2 linked regions of the Mus musculus genome follow. The protein of the gene in region 1 binds, or shares a complex with, the protein of each later gene. Links are inferred from orthologs where the notes say so. Each region holds a gene or a part of one and is shown on either strand. Other genes may lie near its edges.

What was found. Proteins that work in one complex are often made in the same cells at the same time.
Region 2: the proteins of Kcnj4 (region 1) and Tax1bp3 are in contact, whole or in part, in a crystal structure (PDB 3GJ9), measured with the Homo sapiens proteins. The link is inferred for Mus musculus from reciprocal best matches to the Homo sapiens genes KCNJ4 and TAX1BP3. Residues at the interface, in NP_004972.1 of Homo sapiens: Arg440, Arg441, Glu442, Ser443, Ala444, Ile445; in NP_055419.1 of Homo sapiens: Leu27, Ile28, Leu29, Gly30, Phe31, Ser32, Ile33, Gly34, Gly35, Asp38, Gln39, Gln43, Asn44, Thr58, Arg59, His90, Asp91, Arg94, Leu97, Thr98.

Annotation. Positions count from the first base shown.
Region 1 is NC_000081.6:79,502,671-79,506,413, forward strand, and holds the start of Kcnj4 (inward rectifier potassium channel 4), read right to left. Parts: upstream 2,572-3,743; 5' UTR 2,526-2,571; intron 1,270-2,525; exon of another isoform or gene 1,245-1,269; intron 1-1,244. UniProt on the Homo sapiens protein: Inward rectifier potassium channels are characterized by a greater tendency to allow potassium to flow into the cell rather than out of it.
Region 2 is NC_000077.6:73,175,761-73,179,503, forward strand, and holds the start of Tax1bp3 (tax1-binding protein 3), read left to right. Parts: upstream 1-1,322; 5' UTR 1,323-1,543; coding exon 1,544-1,582; intron 1,583-3,743. Other genes in the region: Emc6 (ER membrane protein complex subunit 6), read right to left, coding at 611-943. UniProt on the Homo sapiens protein: May regulate a number of protein-protein interactions by competing for PDZ domain binding sites. Binds CTNNB1 and may thereby act as an inhibitor of the Wnt signaling pathway. Competes with LIN7A for KCNJ4 binding, and thereby promotes KCNJ4 internalization.

The DNA.
Region 1 (3,743 bases):
TCCCAATTAGCCAGGGAGACAGCAACAGGGCTTGACTGGTTCCTGCCCAAGTCATGGAACCTCCCCAAAGTTGGAGTCCTGGTCCCACCTCTAAGTTCGTCATGGCCTTTCCCAAACTCCCCCTACATCTAAGATTAGGGTAAGAAGAGCAAACAGGAGACAAGCAGGGAAGTTGAAGTCTGGCTGCTGCCCTTCCAATCCCAGCCTGGCCTGGTCGGTCTTCGGTTCTTCCCCTCCCTCCCCCAGTGCAGGGGGATCAGGCGCTGATGTAATGCACTCGGCTTCCATCCCCGTGCCAATCTCAGAAGAGAGACGACAGATTGCGTGAGCCAAATTTGGCATCCTAGGGGGAGAGGCATGAAGAGTGGGGATGTGGAGGAAAAGAAGAGCGGGGAGGGACCAGAGAAGCCCCCTGCCCCGCTGAGCCCCTGGGTGCTTCCTGTCACTTCTTACACTTCCGTTCTTACCCAGCCTATTTGGCCCGCACCCCCTGCAGGCCGACCAGCCTAACCCACCACGGACCCTCCAAGCCTGGGTGCTGCCAGTCTGCCCTCCCCCACCACGACACACTGCTCCAGCTTCGTTCCCATTGCTTGTTTCCTGGTTACCACGTTGCTGGTTGTCATGTCGCTTACATGTCCTCGTGACTCAGTGGTCCCCGCAGAGGGGGCCCCCTCCTCCTCACACCCCCCTCAGCACTCGCCCCCGCCTCCCCCAGATCCACATTAAGAACCAGCCCGCCCTGTGTAAGCCCACACAGTTCCTCCTCCCCCTCCCTCTCATCCTAAGCCCCAAAATCTTCCCACAGCATCCTAGAGTGACTTTGTCCTCCGATCCACAAATGTCTCTTTAGAACCTGCATGGTTTGGCTCTGCAAGCTTTTCCCAGGGCCCTGACACTGTATGCAAGCCAGTGACAATGACATGAAGTCCCATTCTCCACTGGTACAAACTGTGACTCAGAGAAGTCAAGCTAACTGCCCAAGGTCACCCCAGTGGGAGCCCGCGGACATTTCTGTCTGGCCAGTCACCTCTATTTTTTTTCCCCTAGGAAGATGTTTCTTTAAGCGTAACATTAGGTACAGCGCCCAAGTCCCAGGTCCCCCCACTTATGCCTAGACACCTCCATTACTGTCAGTCTGCATTTCCAGCCATATTCTTGCCACTGGTAACTACTTATTTTCCCTCAAAGTAAACTGAGTTCTTACCCCCACCCCCATCTGCCCACCCCTCTCTTCAGCCTACCAAGAGTCTTCTGCTCACAGAGCTCAAAGGCCCTGCATTGGAGGTCAGTGGGGCAGGTCTGGTGTCCCCATTCCACAGATGTGCTGGCAGAGGCTCAAGGAGCATAACTTGCCCAGTGTCTCAACTAGCTGGTCTCATTTCTGAAGCCTGGACCAAGGGATATACGAGCCTTGATGCCCAGTATGGAAAACTTCAGAAAGAGACCCTTCTTCCATAGGAGGGCAGAGCAGAATGTTCCAGGCTCAGTCCTCCCGCTCCACTTGCCCTAACTGTCCTGTTTCTCCACTTGCTCCCCTCAGAAGCCAAGTCAAGGCTACACATGGCTCTGGACTCCTAGCAGTCCTGCAAGGTGCAGGGATGGATGGGAGTGGGGGTGGAGTGAATATTGGATCCCTGGATCCAGCCCTTCTCTGTCCAGGGCTAGACACCTCGTCTGGTCCCTAGGTCCTTCAGCCTACTACTTGGAGCTCTCCCCCTCTTGAGGCCCTCCCTGTTAGGGCAGCCCAGCCACCCTGTGTGGTGCCTAGAGGGCACTGCTGCCTGCCAAGCTGGTCTACAGCTCCCTGCCCTGAAGTCTGAGTCCCCTTGCATAGTTTGTGGGGGAGGGGGGGGCAGTAGTAGGCTGACCTGGTTAGTGGGCATTCTGCAGGTGGTGGTGAAGTTCTCCTTGCTTAGAGCCCACGGCATGACTCTTTGCTGTTTCCCCTTTGCAGAAGAAAAAGCATCTTTGCCCCTCTCTCTACAGCCTTAGTTTCCACCACTCTAATCCCCGAAATGCTCCATTTACTGTTACCTCATTCCTTCAGCTACTACCGGCTCACCTACCCTGGGGTTATCTGGCACAAGGCAGGTGCTTAACACAGCAGAAGGGAGATTTCTGTCATACTCCGAACCATTCACGGAGACTGCAGGTGGGTGGTGGGAAGCTGAGACGCCCCCTTCCCACCTTGCTGCAAGTCACCTGCCTCGCAGCTCCTGGCATGGAGGTGGGCGGGGGCAGAGAAGGGCCGTCGCCAGGGCAGGAGGTCAAATCTCTGTCATCCATCTCCCTTCTATTGCCAGCCACAACCCACAGGAGACGCTCTGATGGCCAAATAAACGGAGCGCGCCAGCTTGGGGGAAGTCACAGGTCCACACTGGGACCCTTCAGGAATCGGGTCTGATGGATAAGTGCAGGACGGGTATGGCCAGAGCGGCAGGACAAACAACTCTCTGAGCTAGACAGACATTGGGACGGACAGACGGACGAAGAGTACTCGCGATGGACGAGCCCGAGCTTACCCCGGGGCGTAAGGTCCGAGGAGGGTCTGGGCGGCGAGTGTCCGCTACATCCCCCGGCGCAGTCCGGCGGGCGGAGTCCGGGGCGCCGGGCTTGGGACGCGGGCGCCGCCTGCCCGCGATGTCGCCACTGACCCAGGCGGCCTCTGTGGGTCTCGGGGTCTCCGCGCTGTCCCGCGCCGCTCCCTGCGTAACTTTCAGCGTTGCCCCGCGTCAAGAGCTGGGCGCCGCCCGGGCGGCAGCATCGTGGAGCCCGGGCTCGGGTCGAGGGGTCCAGGGGCCCAAGGCGCCCCACTGCCCGCTGTTACCCACAGCCCCACGACCCTCTCGTTGTTCAGTTCTGGGGTCTCCTGGCTCTGTGGCCACCTCGCGCCTGCCACAAGGTCCCCGCCGCTGTGCCCCGGTGCCGCCTCTCCTCCCGCGGGGCCGTGGCACCTGGTCGCCGCGCTCCGGCCCCTGCCCGGGCTCAGCCTCGCCCCGCGCCGCCTCCTCGGCCGGCTGTGTCCTTCTCTGTCTGCGTCCCTCCCACTCCCGCCGCCGCCCCCTCCGTCTGGGACCCGGTCCCCGCCGCGTCCCCGGCTCGCCCGGGAGCCTGAGCTCCCGCCGCCCGCGGCGCGCCGAGAACTCCCAACTCGCAGCACGCGCCCCGCTTCGGAGACTTTCGCCCCTCCTCACACGTGACCCGCGCCCCGCTGCGGAGGCAGCGCGCCCCGGCTGCCAGCCCCAGGCGGACCCCACCCCGGCCCTCCTGGTGCGTCTGACCCACGCGGGCAGGCCACTAGCGCCCGGGACCCAGGACTCCAGCAGGAGTCGGGGGTCGGGGACGGGGGGGGGGGGGGGGGGAAGGCTGCGCCGTCCGGTTCTCGCGCGGATCCTGCCCGGGTTTTCCTCCTCGCCCCGCCGCACTCCTACTGGAGGATCCGTTCCAAGGAGGATCCACTCCCGGATTTGCGAGGCCCCTGGGGACAGGTGGGGAGGGTTCTCCGAGCCCAGAGGAGGGTAGGTGGGAACCAGTCCTGTGGGGGTCCCGGTGGCCCTGACCCTCTCCTGGGTGGTCTGCATCCTCTCCCGAAGCTCTAGCAGCTAAGGGCCCTAAGCACCCCCACTTCAGGAGACAGAGGTCGTTCTTTTGGAAGAACCCTAATAGTGGCACAGTCTATCAGTAAGGCTTCAGTTCACAAAGGAGAAACTGAGGACCCACAGACGTCCAAAAGTTCGCAA
Region 2 (3,743 bases), on another chromosome or scaffold:
TGATTTCACTCACGTGGGAAAGCAGTGGTTAGTGGGAGGGGGTGCTAGAAGAGGACTCTTACCCAATCCAGCAAAAGCAAACAGACTTGCAACTGGACCTCGGCCCTGCCCCCTTCCAGACGAGCCACTTCTGGCAGAGACAACTAACTTCTCTGTGCTTCAGGTTTTTCATTAACAGAAAGTTAGCAGTAACATCTCCATTGCTATGGCGAGAATGAAAACACACAATGCCGGTACACAGTGAAAGCTTAGTAACACGAACTGTTACCAGTTCTTAAGATGTTAACGTTAAATTCTCTCATGTATACTCTAGAGGTCCCTTTGGACTTACTAGGCGTTAAATCCAAAAAAATATACAGGCTGTGGCCTCGTACTTGCTCTCCAGGGAGCAAATCTTGGCGACTTCAAAGCTTGGCTAAGCAAGGAACGACAAGGTGTCACACTTCATTTAATCTGAAGAATAATATTACAGGCTCTGTCTTCAGATATAAATTATAACAGTACAGAACAAGCAGCGAATTCCAACAATTTAAAATCTAAGTAAGTCTACCCGGTGTTAATTCTGGCAAGAGCCTTGCCGATCTGTTTTAAAGTCACCCCTGCCCTCATTTCAGTAGACGTGCACCATGCCATAGAGGAAGGTCCAAAAGAGGACGTAGGTGAAGAGGCCTCCAATGAGGCCTCCCGTAAAGAGAGGTCTTCGTGACTTAAAATATTTGTTCCACCTCCTTCCCGCTTTGAGAATGAGGAGCAGGGAGAGCAGGACGGAGGCAAGCAGGTAGAAGATGAAGCCGTAGAGGCCGGTGAGGCCGAGGATGCCGGCGGTGGCCCCGGACAGCGCTGACACTGAGGTCCGGCAGTAATCCAGGACCGCGGCGTTGCCTCGCACGGCTGCCTCGCTGATGAACGGCGGCCCTTCCCGCTTGGCCACCACCGCGGCCATCGCACCCGCCGGGGCTCCGCTTCTGCCTTCACGCCGACTCACGCGGAGCTGTGGAGAAAACCGAGTTACAAGTGGAGCCCGAAGCCTGGCGAGCTGAGCGCACGGCGCCTCCTCCCCCTGGGACCTCCGACGCCGTGCTGGGGGCCTCTGACCTCCACTGCACGCCGAAACTGAGGCTCGGGCCGGCCCGGGACAGCAGCACATCAGCACACGCCCGACAGGCTCGCGGAGTTACCTGAGACGCCGCGGCACACAGTCCCTCGTGTTCCCTCAGACAGGAAAAAGCGGAGAGTCCCGCGCCGCCATCTTGCGCTGGAGGCTGCTGGGAGGGCTCGGTTTGCGCAGGCGCACAAACTCCGCCCCACCCTCCTACGCTTGCGCCTCGGGCGCTCTCCCCTCCCGCCCCACTTCAGCACACAAGTCCCGGGACTCCGGAAAGCCCAACAGCGCTCCAGATGCTGATTGGCTAGAGACTTCTTAAGTATTCATGAGGGGGCGGGCTGAGCAGGGCTGCCCTTTGTTAACCAGGGAGGGCGCGGCCGCGGGCATTCTCGCTGGGGGTCTCACCGGGCGCTGTCTCCTTGACAGATTTCGGTCGAAATGTCCTACACCCCGGGCCAGCCTGTCACCGCCGTAGTGGTGAGTGCGCTTGCGCGGGCTCCTTCTCCTCTTGGCTCACCCCCATTTCGCAGAGCGGCAAACTGACATCTAGACAGGCTGAGAAAGTATAGGACCCGGGGCTCCTGCGTATATTCCGGTGGCCGTTTCTGCTTAACAGTGCTGCAGCCTTCCCTGGCCTGGAGAGGTGGCTGGGACCTAAGAGCCTCCCGGGACCCTGGGCAGAGGCCAGATCCTGTGCACTGCCGCCGTCGGGTGGATACCTTTTACTAGGCGCAGACCGGGAGGACGTAGGAGAAAGGCTGGTCCGCGGGAGTGTTAGAAAACTCCCCTGCCCTGGGCCTCCTGTCCCCAGCTGGGCGGCCGTGGGGGGCGGGCGCCGATGTCCTGTGAGTCGCAGCCTCTGGAATGAGGAAGCGTTTCCTCTGCTCCAGCCGGCACACTGCCGCCGCCGCCGCCGCCGCCGAGCCGTAGGAGATTTAGGGGGTGGGGCTGGCCAGAGTTTGTGCATCCCCCTTCCCGCTTCTCATCCGGCCTCGCTGCTCTTGGGACAGACCCCTCGAGAGCTAAGGCTTGGTCTTCTGAACTTTTTAGGGTACTCAGCCCTTGATGCTTAGTGTTTGTCCTGTGCATGACACTTAAGCTTCTAGACCTTTCCAGGGCCTCCTTCTCGGTTTGTCTTGTGTATCAATCAGGTGTATTTGAATAGGCAACAGGATGGAGGGGTAGATGTTACAGTCTGATGGGGGCGCTGGCCAACCCTGAGCAGCTGAATCCCAAGAGAGAAGCATCAGTGCCCAGTTTCCTAAAAGGAAGCTTTTAGGAAGGACACAAATCACTCCCCAGACAGGGCCTTACTCTTAAGCTTAAACTGGCCTTGAACTTCTGGCAGTACTCCCTTCTTAGCCTTCCAAGTGTTGGAGTCACAGGTGTGACTTGTGTCCACAGTCCTGGAACTGTAGGGATGGGCCTTGTTAGATGGGTGTGTTGGAGGGTGGGGGCAACAAAGCTACTGATAAAGGTGGCTTGGGAGGGTGAGCTTCCGGCTAGGATATCCCAGTTTTTACTCAATTTGTACCAGCCTGATTTTTCTAGGATCCTTCACTGGCTGCCCCAGAAAGATCATCGAGTTTGACCCTATCTGGAAAAGGAGGGTGTAATTAGGACCTAGGGAGAGCCACTTTGCTGCCTGACTTCTCCCTTAAGTTAGGGCTTTGTCTCTTTTTGGACCTTGCTGGTGGAAGTGAAGGAAGGTGTGTGTGGGAGTAAGCCTGGAGGAGCTTACACTTTTGGACAGGAAGCCCCAGGTGAAAGGACCTTAGGCATCGAGGTTTTCCACCCTCTTCCGTCTTGGCAGGAGAGTCAGAGTCTTCCTTAAAGCTGTAAGACCACAGTCCTCCAATCCTAATGCCAGGTGCATGCCTGAACATAAGCAAGCAGAGCTGGCCTTTCTCAGTCTCGGATTGCTCATGGGGTGGAGGTGCCTCCTTCCCAGTCTTACCCCCTCAGGTAGAGTTAGCATCCTGGTTCTGTTCCGGCCATTTTTGTTAAAACCATTTCAAAAGCTGTCCTCTGAACTGTAGCCCCACTGATCTGCCTCCTGGAAGCCTGTGCAGATGACCTCTGACACTGCTCTACCTGGGTCGACGCTTGCATCTATCCTGACTGGTTCTCAGTCATCTCAATCTTCCTAATGCCACACCCTTTAATACAGCTCCTCAAGTTATGGTGACCCCAACCATAAAATCAGTTTCGTTGCTACTTCATAACTGTAATTTTACTAATGTTAAGAATCATAATGTTGCTGGGCAGTGGTGGCGCACGCCTTTAATCCCAGCACTTGGGAGGCAGAGGCAGGCGGATTTCTGAGTTCGAGGCCAGCCTGGGCTACAAAGTGAGTTCTAGGACAGCCAGGGCTACACAAAGAAACCCTGTCTCAAAACAAAACAAAACAAAACAAAACCAAACCCAAAAAACAAAAACAAAAAAGATTCATAATGTTAAATATCTGTTTTCCAATGGTCTTTGGTGACCCCTTTATAAGGGTCATTCGATGCCCCTCAGGGTCACGACCCACAGGTAGAGAAAGACTAGCCATATGCCAGGGTGCTCTGTTCCAATTCCTCATGATCAGTCCTTGTCTATGGATCACCAGTTGTAAGCAGCTCCTGTCCTCAGGCCT